Linked DNA regions of Canis lupus familiaris. The protein of the gene in region 3 interacts with the protein of the main gene of each other region in a pairwise test. Links are inferred from orthologs where the notes say so. Each region holds a gene or a part of one and is shown on either strand. Other genes may lie near its edges.

Region 1 (4,092 bases), on a different chromosome or scaffold from region 3:
TGGAAGGAAAAGTAATGGCCTGTTCCTGGATAAATCACATTATGATCTGAGTAATATGGAGAAATAATAATTTGGTAGCCAACAGTACTTGTGATGGATGTTTGCTGGTGTCACCACAGGGATAGAAAAGCATTGATTGAATGATAGTCTTGGATATTCAGACTTATTATTTATGAATTGCATAGTAGAGTAAGAAGAAAGATCATGCTTTTGTGCTGCATGACTGTTTTGGAAAATGATCTCTAATAGTGTTAAGTTAAAAGCTGGAAATGAGTTTGCATATGTAATATTATAACCCAAGATTTAGAAAACATTTAGAGATGCCTAGATGGGCAATTAAGGATTTTAGTGAATTAGGAGATTATGGCCTATGGCAATCATCAGGGCTGTCAGCGAGCTCCAGCCCCATTAGGACACTGAAAGAGGTTAACAGCATTCTTGAAAGTTTTCCTGATGAATTCCTTCTAAAGTCATCTACATTCATTTTATTTCTTTTTCATAAATTTATCAGAAATAACATTACATTTAGTTATCAATAGTGAATATTTAATAGTAACTGGAACAAATTTTCCATTTCTCTTCTCAGAGATGACTGATGAATAATACAATGTATTTAATATCTGATTGCCATTGAGGTGATTGATTTGAACTAGAAGAATGAGATCAAAACCCATTAAATTATGTGTCCATTTTTTATTAATGAACTGTCAGTAGAGAAAATCATGTAAAAGTCTAAAAACATATAAAAGTAACACTGATGTTTATTATCAAATTAGCTATGTTTAATAGTGTTATCTTCATTTAATTTGGTAAATCAATAATCTTAATCTGGTCTTTTTGTTCAACATAGGGAGTTTATTTCTTCAACATCCACTCTTTTTGCTAAGAATTAAAATGTAACCACAGGAAATTCCTGTGACTATTGTATAATTTGATGAATTGTTGAGAACTCTGCAAATGCGGCAGCAATTTGTCTGTGCATTCTGGACTTGATTTAGCTTTATCCTTTTTCTCATAGGCATTCTAAAATATTTATGATGGCATACACTGGTAATCTGATGTGTGAGTCCTGTGAGAAACAAAAAGAACTAATTACTAGCAAATTTACAAGCCCTGGTACATTCTTCCAAATTCTGTTTCTACTTACTATATAAAAGAAGTGGAATAATGGATGAAATTTTAGAAGTTTAATGATTTTTAAAAATTCTATTGTCATTTTATTTCTCAATTCTTGCCAGTTGTATCATTGATCATTAACCTGGTCATGTTAGTTCTTTTATACAAATGTAGTGAACACCTGCTTTGGGTTTAGAGGAATTAATCATACAATGTTCAAGATAAATAAAGCTGGCCTTGACTGATTGGGTATTTTATGTACTAGTGTTTCTCAGCAGGCACATTATAGTTATATAACATTACAGTGAATAATCAGAAGCCAATTTTGGGTAAGTACCTCAAAATTAAATAGCTTTTGAGTAAAGTACATATGCAATAATATTGATCATGAGTGTTTAATAGAGTAGGGGAATGGTATTTCAATTCACTTTGATACAGATATTATTTAAATTTATCAAATTAACACATTACTTTTATTCTCCTCAACTGGCATAATTATAAATTTGAAGGTCGGATTCTTATAAGAATGTTGTTTAGTTCACCAGTACTTCATGCTTCCTGATGAGATAAGATCCAAAACCCAATGATGTAAGTGAATTTTTAAAACAATTTTTTTGGTGTAAGCTTGTAATTTATTTAATGCCTAGAAATTTTCTGGGAAAATTGGATGATCAAATAATGTAAATTTTAATTATTAAGATCATTCATAATAATGAGAGGATGCCCCTCTGATTCTACTATAGGGGAAAAATTGTATCCTTCATAATATTGTTTATTATTCTAATACAAATAAAATGCATCAGGATGTGCCTAATGAATTGCCACTTGATGACTTAAAAGTACTAATAACGCTTTGCTTATATATCTACAAACTGATATTTTCAATCATAAATCTTCTGAGATATTGAATAGATTAGAAAATGATTCACTGAAATTTATTTCATGTATAAAACTTTTCTTACTCACTGGCTGTTACTATTGTTGCACTGACTCACAACCTTATGTATTAATTTAATCCTCAATAAAACGTGGTTTGATAGTATATATCTATATTTGCAGTTTGCCAAAACAATTTTTTTAAAACAATTTATTTCAATTGCATTTTGAGGTCTTTTTCCTTTGCAAATTGTATATCTAAACAGAGTTTAATTACAAATATTAGAATGCAATTTGAAGTAGTTGGCTAATGACTCCATATCTTAGTTTTAGAGAATATTTGACTATTAGTAAGCTTTATATCTAATAGTGACTCTTAACCCATTTATGGGTCATGCTGACCCTTCTAGTTGTCTGCAGAACACTTTGGAAATATAGTTCTTCATTTTTTAAGGCTGACAATACATTGTTCTGGAGCCCTTCATCTTTACCTTCAATAAATGGTTACTGCCTAGTAACCTTTTAATCTAGGAATTATTAAGGATTACTAAAATGAATTTTTTGCAAGGTAAAATTAGTGTTACTAAAATTTATAAGGATTTCGGAGTCAGCATTTTGTGAGGTCTGTGATAATATTGCAAAACTCATTCTTAAGATGTAATCAGGTGGCTGAATTTCCTGTACTTTTAGTGGAGAGCACTGTCATAGGGTGTCAGTAGTGTTGTGAATTGGCTTAAGGTTCCAATTGTAACTTTCTTAAATGTGTTAGTCAAATTATTCTTTGATTTTTTTTAATTGCTTTCTTCTTTTGTTATTGTTGTACCACTTATATTTGATTGTAATTGTGTTTCTTTACAATTTTTCTGAGTTTGTTTTTCCTCACTTTGAATAAAGTACATGGTGGATTTTGGGGTATTTTGCCCTCCAGAAGTGAGATTCCATAAAGTGTGAAAATTCCTACTGCAAAGACTTTGCCAGATTACTCGAACTAATTTAGAAAGTATTGACTTTCTAGTATTATAGATCAAAACCACAGTAGAGTGTCTTCCTTTTTTTTTTTATTGTTTCTCTTTTGATCTACAAACCTTTTTAGAGTAGTGTAGACAGAGGATTTCCTTGATAAAGAGCTAGAAGTGATCCCATTTAAAACAATGGGAAAGGGGATCCCTGGGTGGTTCAATGGTTTAGTGTCTGCCTTCGGCCGGGGGCGTGATCCTGGAGTCCCGGGTTCGAGTCCCGCATCTGGCTCCCTGCATGGAGCCTGCTTCTTCCTCTACCTGTGTCTCTGCTTCTTTTTCTCTATCTCTCATGAATAAATAAAATCTTAAAAAAAAATAAAACAATGGGAAAAATAGGAAAAAGTATCACATAGCTATTTAGAGATAGATTTGCTATTGATAGTGTCCCAGGATTACAGGTTCTCCTTTGATTTTAGAAGACTGCTTTATATTTTGGACTAGTTCTTGAAAGAATATGATAATGCTATTAGCACATGGCCTATTTCCCCTAATAGATGATGCTGAGTCTGAAAATTGGCATGAGAATCTTCTTGTAATAGTCTGTCCTAATAGTTAGAAAGTTTTATGTTGGAACTTACTTTGGTTAAACTCTGATTATTTTGAAAAACTAATGAATTTTGAATTAATGCACAGAGGTCAAAATGAATAAGATCTTGTTGTGGAGTCTCCTATTGATTTTTTCTGGAAGTCAAGCTTCAAGACCCTTGGTTCAAAGAAATGTCGAATTTGCAGTGGATCTTTATCAAACTATTTGTTTATCTCATGAGAACAACATTATATTTTCCCCCCTCGGAACAACTTTGGTTCTTGGGATGATACAACTGGGAGCAAAAGGAAGAGCACAACAGCAGATAAGACAAACTTTAAAACTTCAGGAAAACTCAACTGGTGAGATTCTTACATATGATTATTTATAATGGATAAGATCTGGCCAAATTTATTTTGAAAATTAGAGAGAAGCTTGGGGTTGCAGAATTTAAATACATGGAAAATGTTATCAAAAGCATAAAATTATAATAAAATAGAGAATTTTAAATAATTTTATTTAAATTGTTTCCTAATGAAAATGTTACCAGAAGAA
Region 2 (4,204 bases), on a different chromosome or scaffold from region 3:
ATAGAGGCGCTGCGAGGCACCCCCAAGATCTTATAGAAATCTCGCCTAGGGAATAGGGAGGGGGAGAGGGTACTTCATTAAAGAGTTCTACAGTATGTTTTTAAAAGTGAAATTTTTTTCCTTTGCTTTTAGGTTTGTATATGAGCAAAGAGGTAGGAAAATGAAGGCATACATGTGACACACAAAAAAGAATGACTAAAAAGAGCCCGTCAGAATTTGTAAGGAATCTTACATATTGAAGTAATCACAATGAGAGGCCATGAACTTTTTGAACTTTGCTACAATTATTCAAAACATCTGTGGCATACTTCTCTTAGACCCTTTCAGACAAGAGAACTATTTCCTTATTTATGGTCACATGTTATTTTCAACCAGTAACTGTACAATCGAATTAACTCTCTCTTTTTTCCTTCCCTCTATTAGTGACTTCAAATGACTTCTGGCTATGTCCAAAGGTCAAATAATAACCAAAGGATGATTTTCTTTATTCAAAAAGATCACATCATGTAAAAGTTCTAACCGTAGCTTTGTTTAGAATGTTAAACATGAAGCAACTGAAATTAACTTCAGAGGTTAACATAGAAGTTAAGCCAAAATCCAGTTAAGAACTCTGAGAAAGAATAACCTCTACCTGGATGTAGGAGTTGTGGTGTTTTTTGCTAAAAGTGAGAGAAAATATCAATCTTGCAGTCATTTTTAGTGGCTATACTGGTTTGTCTTGGTCAAGTCGTAATTATAGACAGCTGCTGAAGCCCATATGCAGAAGCCTGTAAGTCTCAGCAGCTACAAATATGCATACAGCATGAGCAGGGAGATAAGGTACAGATTCACTGACCTCCTTGCAAGGGACTCTGCTAAAGTAATTATAAAAGGAGTATTTGCAAGAAGGGCCAATGCATAAAACAGACCATAATAAACTTCAAGGGTAGGGACTGTAGCCCATAGAAGACACCAATAAATATTTACTGAATGAAATGAATAAATAAGCATGCTCACAAAAACCTACTCCTTTTGCCAGAGTCATTTTAGCCATCAAAAATTATTCTGAAAAAAAAATTATTCTGAAAATGCATTTCTCAACACAGGGAATGGGAAAGTTGTCCACAATGGACACACTACTACAGTAGTGATGGTGACTTTAAAATGCAATGGGGATAAAATGCATTGAGGTGCCAAGTGATATATGACAGAACATGGAAAAAATGATTTCATAAGTTCTTTGTTGCACTTTGGAAAGTCATATAATCATTTCAGGTCTAAGTCTGTAAAATTATCATCCCCAATGAGAATTAATTAGACGTTTTATCCTCCCCATCCCCCCCCCAAATCTGCAAACACCCCTAAGATCTAGAGACAAGGGACTAAATAAATCAAAAGGTTCACCAAAATTAATAACAAAAGAGCTGTTTAAAGAATGAGGCTTACTTAGAATATGCTTAATATAAAAATGGGTCAGTAACAGTCCAGAATAATCAGGGAAAAGAGAGCTGGCATAGTTCAGCATCAATGTTACAGTTCCCCAAAGACTTCTCTATAAAAAGGCTGGCGTTTAAAGCTACAGAATTAACAATACTCAGACTGACCCATATCTTAGGGTATGTATGTGTTGCTTTAAGTGAAGTACTAACAAAAACATACTAAAAAAAAACAATAAAGCATTACCTAGAAGAAATCATTATTATTATTATTTAGCAATTTAAAATGTTTCACCAGAAAAAAAAATGACAACAAAGTTTAAGCATATAAGCACGGGGGGAAAAGAACACTTTTAAGAAATAACAAGCGCTTTGAAGTTTAAAGCTTTGCTAAGTAGCATCCCCTACAGTGAGGGAAACTTAGGAATTGTTAGAAGCTAAGACTTCACTGTTTCCCCCATATACTCAAATGTGAGCCCGGCACGTCATATCCTGCGGTCACCGAGCTTTAGGATCGTAGATCTAAAAGGCTGCACGCATCCCTGAGGGTTCAGGTGGTCCTTCCTACTCCCTTCGTACGGGGGGGGGGGCACCTTATTATCTTCATGATACAGATGAGAACTCAGAGTCACGAAACTCGCAGGTGGGGTGGGGATGCGGGGTCTTGAATGCCAGCTCGCTGTCTGTCGGTGAAATGCCCTTCCTGTTCCTGAGATTAGGAGGCTTCTCAGGAACGTGCCATGGAGAGGCCGTGAAGCAGGAGGGCAGCTAAGGCTCCGTTATCGCCAGGAGCCAGGAAGGACAAGCACTCTCCAGGGCCCGCCTCGCTGCCTCCATCCCATTTCCTTCGGCCCCGGCATGGCTCCCCTACCTGTTCTCCCTTGCTCGCTCAGCCTCGCAGTACCGCCGCCTCCCCCCCCCCCCCCCCCCCGCCCAGGGGCTTGTTGCGGGCTGTCCACGTACCCGGTCCTCCTCTTCGGCTCAGCAGCACCCCGCGCCCCCCCCCCCCCCACGGGCCGTCCCGCACCGCATCCACATCCCGCTGGAAGGGCCTCCGGCCCTGCGCCCCTCTCCGCCGCCCCGCACACCCCCTCCTCCCGCAGCCCAGACGCACCGACCCACCGGCCCCGTGCCCGAGGGCGCCCGGTCCTCACCCGGCGATCGCGGCCCCGAGGAGGTACAGCAGCAACAGGCAGAGGGTGCCCAGGTTCTGCGGGGCCATGGTCTCTCGGCGCCCGCCTCCGTGCCGGCCCCTCGCCCACGCGCTCCGCCCCGCCGCCGCGTCGGCTCACCGGCCCCCCACCCCCCGCCCGGTGCCCAGAGGCCGCCTCTCCCCGGGGTCACCCCTCGGTCCCGAGCGACGGCGAGCTCGCCCCCTCCTCGGCCAGTCCACTTCCCGGGAGTCCCGAGTCCCCGGGAGAGAAGCCCCGCAGCCGGCGAGAGCCAATCGCTGCTCGGGACATCACACGCGGCCGGCGCCGCGCAGCCAATCAGCGCGGTACACTTCACCTCCGAGGCGGCGCGGCCGGCCAGTTAGGCCTCCGAATTGCAGCCGCAGCTCCGGGCCAATTAGAGGAGGAAACGTCAGAGAGACGCGCCGCCGCGGGCTTCCGCTCGGCCCCGGTAGCCACGAGTCGCGGAAAACTGCGTAAAAAGGCGGTGGGGTCCAGGAGTCCCGCCCCTCCCCGCCCACCTCGGGCTCTCCACCAATCACGAGGCTCCTCCTCCAGCACTGACCAATTACGGGAGGGAGGACTTACCTGGTGACGAGTCTGGGAATTTCATTCATCCGGAGCTTTACGCTGGGTGCGGGAGCAAAGGGTCACCGGAGAAATGGGCGGGGACAACTACTCTGCGCCAACGGTGGGGCGGACGCACGGCTTAAGAGATCTTACTTTACCCTCTTGGAACAAGCCCCGAAGAAAATTGCCTCGGTTTGCACGGAGAAGAGGCCGTGGGGGCAGACAGACTTAGATTCGGATTCAGCTTCCATCACTTCTTAGCGGTGAGAACATCCTCCTTCCCTTGCCCCCGTCAAGCCTAAGCTTCATTTACAAACCCGAGGGCAAAACATTTTACTGGCAGTGTTGTGAAATTTAATGGGAGAAAAGCTGTAAACTGTCTAGCACAGCAGGCACGCAGTGTAGAACTCTTTGATTCCCCCCACCTACTTGTTCATGACAAAATTCTAGGTATCTTCCTTGATTCCGCCCCTATATCCTCTATCCACATCTTTGCTTTTAAACTATAGCCTCAATCTGTCCACGGCTGTACATCTCCACTACCTCTCTAGGCCAGGTCACGTCATCTCTCCCCTGGCAAGCCTTCCTACGTGGTCTCCCTGCCTCCACTCTTAATATATTACACTCTCTTGTTCACTCCTGACCCCCAACCGCATGATTTTTTGCAAACGTGTCAGACCATGTCATTCTCCTACTCAAAAGCCTCGAATAGCTTGTCATTGCACTTAAAATAAAACCCCAGCTCTTTATGATAGCTTATAAAACTCTGTGTGCTTTCATAAAGCTGGGGGAAAAAATAGTTAAAGCCTGATAGGATCTGTGCCCTCACCTAGTATATACTCCTTGGAATGTTCCAGCAAACCTGGTTTTTTCTTTTTATGAATACACAAAATTCATTCCTCCCTAAGGCCTCTATTCTTGCTATTCTCTTTGCCTGAAGCACTCTTCCCTTAGTTTCTAACTTGGGTGACTGCTTTTTACACTCAGATCAGTTGAAATGTCACTACTTCAGAGAAGACCTCCCTGACTAGCCAGTCGAAAATAGCT
Region 3 (2,737 bases):
CCACTCTCTCTGTCTCCCTGCTCAGATTCCGGCACACAGCCTGGTGGAGTTCCGAGTGCTCCCACTGGCCCCCTAGGACCCCCTGGTCATGGCCAGACCCTGGGTAAGAGTGAGGGTATCAGAGCAGGCAAGCTCTGGGTAGAGAAGGGGTAGGGCCGACTGGGTGGGTTGAAGGGGGTCCAGGTTCAAGGTTACATCAGACCCGCCCCCCAGGCTCCACCCTCATCCAGCTGCCCTCCCTGCCCCCTGAGTTCATGCACGCCGTCGCCCACCAGATCACTCATCAGGCCATGGTGGCAGCTGTTGCCTCCGCGGCCGCAGGTAATAACCCGGAAGGGGAAGCTTGGGAGGTGGGGCACGGTCCATGGTGGCGGGTGCTGTCGGCTAGCAGGCCAGGGCCCGGCCCTCAGCCCTCTTCGGTCTCCCCTCTGCCACCCACAGGACAGCAGGTGCCAGGCTTCCCTACGGCTCCGACCCGGGTGGTGATTGCCCGGCCCACCCCTCCACAGGCTCGGCCTTCCCATCCTGGGGGGCCCCCCGTCTCGGGTACTCTAGTGAGTAAGGATGGAGGAGCTCTCGTTGGGGGGAGTCTGGGGAAAGAATCCTCGTGGGGAATGGGCAGGGCAGGACTGAAAGCTGTTTCTGTCTCCCTCCAGCAGGGCTCCGGGCTAGGTACCAATGCTTCTCTGGCCCAGATGGTGAGCGGCCTTGTGGGGCAGCTCCTGATGCAGCCTGTTCTGGTGGGTGAGTCCTTGTTCTTGCCCGTCTCAACCTGAAGGGATGTCCACCACCCTGGAGGCCGGTGCTCCTCAGTCTCCTGACGAGCGCTTCCCAGTTTTCTCCACAGATCCTTTTTCCTTGCCTTCCTGTTGACAAGACCAGAATGAGATGCTGTGGTGTCTCGTTTCTCTACAGAGTTCAACTTTTCTCTTTTGGTCTCTCCAGCTCAGGGGACCCCAGGAATGGCTCCACCTCCAGCCCCTGCCACTGCTTCAGCTAGTGCCGGCACTACCAACACCGCTACCACAGCTGGCCCTGCTCCCGGGGGGCCTGCCCAGCCTCCTCCCCCTCAGCCCTCGGCCGCCGACCTGCAGTTCTCTCAGCTCCTGGGGAACTTGCTGGGGCCAGCAGGGCCTGGGGCCGGCGGGCCTGGCATGGCTTCTCCCACCATCACCGTGGCCATGCCCGGCGTCCCCGCCTTTCTACAGGGCATGACTGACTTTCTGCAGGTGAGTTGCTGGCTTGCTCTTTGGCTCCCCCCCACACCTGCTGGTCCAGCCAGGTGCTGGTGCCTTGTTTCTGTGATGTTGCTGCTGGGCTACGGTCCCTGGTGGCCTGTCGATGGGAGGGAGCCCTGGGACCTCATTGATTCCGATTCCCCACCTATCCCCATTTGGGAGAAGCAGCAGCTGAGGCTATGAGGACATAGTACTTGGCATTGCTGTTTTGTAACCTAATGCGTTCAGGGGGAGAGGGGCTGGAGCCCCACCTAAGTCTGCTGCTATGTCACCACATGTGTTCATTCTGCTCCAGGGAGGAAAGACCACAGTGGGGCTCTCCTGTTGGGCTTCTCTCAGCCTGTGCCTTTCTGGTGTCTCGTCCCCGTTTTCACCTTGTCTTCTGTTGTGTGTTCTCTGTTTGCCAGGCAGCACAGACAGCCCCTCCACCCCCGCCGCCGCCGCCGCCCCCGCCCCCAGCACCGGAGCAGCAGACTGTGCCCCCACCAGGGTCCCCTTCTGGTGGCACAGGGAGTCCTGGAGGCCTGGGTCTTGAGAGCCTTTCACCGGAGTTTTTTACATCTGTGGTGCAGGGTGTGCTGAACTCCCTGCTGGGCTCCCTGGGGGCGCGGGCCGGCAGCAGTGAGAGCATCGCTGCTTTCATCCAGCGCCTCAGCGGATCCAGTAACATCTTCGAGCCTGGGGCAGATGGGGCCCTCGGTGAGCCATCGAGGGTGCCTTGGTCTTCTCCAGGGAGGGGAGGGGAGGGGAGGTTGATGACCTTTGTCAAGGAGTGTTGCTGGAGCTGGATGAGGTCGATGGGTTGGTGGTGCACAGGCAGGGCAGGGGGTAAAGGCCACTGCTGACTTCAGCCCCTGTCCCTAGGATTCTTCGGGGCCCTGCTTTCTCTTTTGTGCCAGAACTTTTCCATGGTAGACGTGGTGATGCTTCTTCACGGCCATTTCCAGCCACTGCAGCGGCTCCAGCCCCAGCTGCGGTCCTTTTTCCACCAGCACTACCTGGGTGGCCAAGAGCCCACACCCGGTAACATACGGGTAAATGAAGGCCGGGGGCCGCCGCATGCTCCTCTTCAGCTTCTCTTTCTTGACTCCACTCTGTCACCTAAAGTGCCGATCGCTCCAGCCTGAGCCCTGCACTTACTGGAGGTGGAGGGGAGGGCATGTCTCACAGGCCAGGGTGGGGGATCTGAACTCCTGCTGTTTTGCCCTTAGACGGCGACCCACACATTGATCACGGGGCTGGAAGAATACGTGCGGGAGAGTTTCGTGAGTTCCTCATCTCCCGGGGGGCCGGGGTAGCTGCTGTTCCTCCCACCGCCTCGGAGCGAATGTAGTCTTCCAGGCTCCCTGATTTGGGGGTCTCCGTGTGTCTTGGTTTTCAGTCTTTGGTGCAGGTTCAGCCTGGTGTGGACATCATCCGGACCAACCTGGAGTTTCTCCAGGAGCAGTTCAACAGCATTGCTGCTCATGTGCTGCACTGCACAGGTGAGGGCGGCCAGG
Region 4 (4,052 bases), on a different chromosome or scaffold from region 3:
ATGTGGGAATTTCAAAACTCAGGATTATTTAAGAAACAACAGCAAATGCTAGAGGAAAAAATTACTGGTTTAAGTGAATTGAAAAAAGTTATTTTTTATATGCAGTATACTAAAAAAATCAGGGTTAATTGAAAAATATAATACTTACTTAACAAGGAGGAGAAAACAACTGCCTCCCTCAAGACACCTCATTTAATTCATTGAGAGATGAAAGAAATGTGTCTGCAAGGTGAAACCGTGGGCTCATGGAAAGCTGAGATTTCTGTACAGATGCTATTTGTCTAATAGTTTTCGTATTGCCAATGACCATCCGATTAGCATCTTCACTACACTGATTTCCATTTACGGGAGAAATCTATGAATGATCTGTAGAGTCCTTCGGTGACACCCAGGCAGGCTTCTGTACACTGCCTCGCCGGTTTCTTAGTCTTCAGCGAGAAAGGGTAGGAGAGAAGCAAATACGTCCTCTTCCAACCCCTGCTCCTGGATGTGCGAAGGAAGAGGGTTTTGCTAGCTTGGAATAAAAGATATCCTAGAATGGCACCGATAGGAAAGTTCTACGTGTGTCGCCACGTTTAAATTCTCCTTTCTCCAAAATGTGAAATAAATCTGCTTCCATCGTCTGAAATGCTATGGGACTGATAATCCTTCTGTAACGCCGGAGAAACGCCCGTGTCGTAGCTGATTTGGGAGAAGGATGCTCTGCTCACAGGAGATGCCAGATCTCAGAAACACTAGGGCACTCTGCAGGTGAAAGAGGAGGGGGGAAAGCCTCCCCCCACCCCCCTTGAAATGCTCCTCTTAGTAGGATCTCCGACGACAGTATCCTAATACCTTCAGTTATCTGGCCGTCCTTAAAAGTGCAACTTCTCCTGACGTCTCAAGGGACGAAAAAGTTGCGGAAGTCCGAGGAATGAGTCACTTCGCTCAATTTTGATGAGTAATTTCAGGTGTCATGGAACCTCGCTCCGAAGGAGAGGGGAGGGGGCGTCAGATCTGCAGACGGAAGAAGACTGGCCGCTCGGGATTGGATGGCGAGAGCTTGGCTTTTCCTAAAATTGCGTCATTTCGAACCCGATTGGGTCCAGATGTTTCGGGCACCGACGGGTTACCGTCTCGGAAACTCTCGATCAGACGCAAGCAAAGGAGAAGAGGCGGGTAATTAAATATTGAGCAGAAAGTCGCGTGGGGAGCGAGTCACGTGGTCCCCGAGGCTCGTCGAGCGTCGGATAAATACCGCGCGGCACGGAGCCGCCGAAGGAGCGCGCAGCCGCTGCCGCCGCCACCGCCTCCCCCGCCGCGGCAGCCTAAGGGCCGAGCGCCCCGCGTGCGCCCCGAGCAGCCCGAGGAACCCCGCCGGCCCGCCCGCCGCAGTAAGTGCCCGCGCCGCGCCGCGCCGCGCTGCGCTCCCAGGTGGCGGCTGGCGGCGCTGGAGGGGCCCCCGGGGCGGGGGGCACAGCGGGGACGCGGGTGCCCCAAACGCCAGCGTCCCTCTGTTTTCCACCTGCAGGGAGAGCCTCCCGGCCTGGAGGTGCGGATCGGAGGGTCGGGGACTGAGGGAGTTGGGACCGAGGGAGAAGGGGATTTGAGAAACGCTGGGGCGTGATTCTCTTTCCTAAACGGTACACGGGGTGCTGTAGGGTCCCCCACCCCACCCCGCCCCGTTAGGCTTTTTATCTTGGTTCAGCCGGCCCTGACTTGCGTTGTGGGACCAAAAATCATACCGCAACTCTTGGAGCGCCTTCTCCAATATTTCTCCCCCGGCCTCTTCTTCCCCAGTCCTCCCAGGAATCCAACATGAAAATCCTCGTGGCCTTGGCCGTCTTTTTTCTCGTGTCCACTCAGCTGTTTGCAGAAGAAATCGGAGCCAACGATGATCTGAATTACTGGTCCGACTGGTCCGACAGCGACCAGATCAAGGTGAGACCCTGCCCCTAGCCGGCCCGCGCCGCTCTTCCCGGCCTCGGGAGCTGTCACCGCCCCCGCGATAGCGCTCCAGTGAGCCTGGCAGGCCGGGCGACCGCGACCGCGACCGCGACCGAGACCGCGACCGCGACCGCGACCGCAGGCGGGGAGGAGCGCGGGGAGGAGCGCGGGGAGCGGGACGGAGTGTGAAGGAGCGCCGCGCCCTGGGTCCCCGCACGAGCTCCGTGCGCGCGATCCAAGTTTCCTCCCGGGGACTGCACCGTCGGGTCTCGGGAACTCCTGGAGGAACGATGCCCTCCTTGGTGAGCCCGGGGTCCCCCCAGGACTGGAAACCTCCCGAGGCTGCATCCCGGGGTAACGGGGATTTATTTCGACCCGGGCATTTGGAAACGCAGGGCAGGGGCAGAAGGGGGCGCGCCGGACCCCGGGAGACGCAGGGGCAAAGGGCGAGCTGCTGGGGGCTTCGAGCGGCGAGGCGGGTGGGAGCTGACTTCCTGCTTGGACTTTTATTACCGACTCGAGGACGGAGCTGCAAGTTCTCCTTCATTGGGCTCGCGGGCTGTTGGTGCAAGGGAGCGCCCCGAGGGAACAGAGTCGCGCGGTGCAGGTCGCCGGCAAAGCGTTGTCATCCCTTCCCCGCCGCCGACACACACGTGTGTGCACTCAGGGCGGCCAGGCGTCCCCAGAGCCGGCGCCAGAATCGGGAGAACGGCAGGTGGCCGCGCGGCAGCGGAGTGGGGGGCTCCGGGCTCTGCCAGGAGCGGGGCGCGGGCTGCTCACCGCGGGGGCGGGGCTCGGGGGAGGGGCGGCGCGGGGACCCGAGTTCCGCGGGGGGGGCGAGGTAGGGAGCTCCCGCGCTGGGACCCCACCGACCCCCGCCTGGGGAAGCCCGGCCTCCTGCGGCGCCACCGCCCGCCTCCGAGCTTCGCCCCGGGCTGGCGCGCACCGCTGCAACGACTCGGGGTCGCCCCGGGGCCGCGCGCTGGCTGCCGACACCCGCGTTTGTCTGTGCGTCTGTCCCGCAGGAGGAGCTGCCCGAGCCCTTTGAGCATCTCCTGCAGAGAATCGCCCGGAGACCCAAGCCTCAGCAGTTCTTCGGATTAATGGGCAAACGGGATGCTGGTGAGATGGGCGGCCAACCCCCTCCGTGTCTCTGAGCCACCCTCCCGGGCTCCTGGCTCCTAGAGCGTCCTAGCGCGCCCAGTCTCTCCTGCCCTTTGAGGAGAAATTTCCACGCTAAAATGGATACATCCCCGGGGAGCGACTCTGGCCCTCACCCTGCTAACACACGCACAGGCCCTCGGACGCAGGGAGAGGTCCTGAGAGTGACCCAGATCAAGAACAGGAAGCAGCCTTAGCTGAGGGCCCCCTTGACAGAAGACCCAGCTGCCGGAGGGGAGGCGCGGGGCCTCCAGGGGTAGTAGTCAGAATGGTCCAAGTGCCAGTGGAAACCGGTTGGAGACCTTTGGGGTTAGATTAGATTTCGATCAGATGGAGCTCCCTAATGTCTCCTGATAGAAATAGTCAATTTCCTTGAATTTATCACACCATCGGTGGAATGTGTAAATAGTTACTGTCGATTCATCTTTTGTCAGATTCCTCAATTGAAAAACAAGTGGCCCTGTTAAAAGCTCTTTATGGTAAACATTTCTATAAATCTTTATTTTACTATTGTGAATGTACATATAGGAAACGTAAAGAAAGTCTTTTATGGGCTCAAATACAGATTCTTGATAATGCCTGTTTAGTAAAGGTATAGATTTGTATCCCTCTTTCCTGAGTGTCAAATGGTGGTCCAGCTTGGAGATGTGTTTCTTTTTTTGTTTTGTTTTGTTTTGTTTTGTTTTTAAGTGAGAAAACAGGTGTTGTGGCCTAACAGTTATTATTGTTAGGCCTCGGGGGTCTCATAGTCCTGGGTTTGAATCTGTGGCCCATAGAAGGCACTTAAAAATATTCCTTTTGGTTGCTATTTTGTTTTTATCATTAATAATTTGGTTAGCATTTATGGTATATTCTGCTATATTCCTCAGGATAGTACATGAATGGGAAATATTACATGTTTTAAAAATCAACTTATTTTATAATTCTCTTCTAAAAATATAATGTAGCATTTTAAAACAAATCTA

Evidence for each region.
Region 1: the proteins of BAG6 (region 3) and SERPINI2 interact in a two-hybrid assay, tested with the Homo sapiens proteins (2 studies listed by BioGRID and IntAct). The two-hybrid records come from large-scale screens. The link is inferred for Canis lupus familiaris from reciprocal best matches to the Homo sapiens genes BAG6 and SERPINI2.
Region 2: the proteins of BAG6 (region 3) and DNAJB11 interact in a two-hybrid assay, tested with the Homo sapiens proteins (2 studies listed by BioGRID and IntAct). The link is inferred for Canis lupus familiaris from reciprocal best matches to the Homo sapiens genes BAG6 and DNAJB11.
Region 4: the proteins of BAG6 (region 3) and TAC1 interact in a two-hybrid assay, tested with the Homo sapiens proteins (2 studies listed by BioGRID and IntAct). The link is inferred for Canis lupus familiaris from reciprocal best matches to the Homo sapiens genes BAG6 and TAC1.

Annotation. Positions count from the first base shown.
Region 1 is NC_049255.1:32,604,472-32,608,563, reverse strand, and holds the start of SERPINI2 (serpin I2), read left to right. Parts: upstream 1-1,292; 5' UTR 1,293-1,445; intron 1,446-1,625; exon of another isoform or gene 1,626-1,704; intron 1,705-3,644; 5' UTR 3,645-3,652; coding exon 3,653-3,899; intron 3,900-4,092.
Region 2 is NC_049255.1:19,355,498-19,359,701, reverse strand, and holds the start of DNAJB11 (dnaJ homolog subfamily B member 11), read right to left. Parts: upstream 2,801-4,204; 5' UTR 2,638-2,800; coding exon 2,570-2,637; intron 46-2,569; coding exon 1-45. UniProt on the Homo sapiens protein: As a co-chaperone for HSPA5 it is required for proper folding, trafficking or degradation of proteins.
Region 3 is NC_049233.1:1,267,881-1,270,617, reverse strand, and holds part of BAG6 (large proline-rich protein BAG6), read left to right. Parts: intron 1-25; coding exon 26-103; intron 104-213; coding exon 214-321; intron 322-441; coding exon 442-554; intron 555-656; coding exon 657-744; intron 745-945; coding exon 946-1,229; intron 1,230-1,645; coding exon 1,646-1,937; intron 1,938-2,102; coding exon 2,103-2,272; intron 2,273-2,449; coding exon 2,450-2,503; intron 2,504-2,619; coding exon 2,620-2,722; intron 2,723-2,737. UniProt on the Homo sapiens protein: ATP-independent molecular chaperone preventing the aggregation of misfolded and hydrophobic patches-containing proteins.
Region 4 is NC_049235.1:22,592,765-22,596,816, forward strand, and holds the start of TAC1 (protachykinin-1), read left to right. Parts: upstream 1-1,252; 5' UTR 1,253-1,373; intron 1,374-1,779; 5' UTR 1,780-1,797; coding exon 1,798-1,920; intron 1,921-2,951; coding exon 2,952-3,048; intron 3,049-3,521; coding exon 3,522-3,566; intron 3,567-4,052. UniProt on the Homo sapiens protein: Tachykinins are active peptides which excite neurons, evoke behavioral responses, are potent vasodilators and secretagogues, and contract (directly or indirectly) many smooth muscles.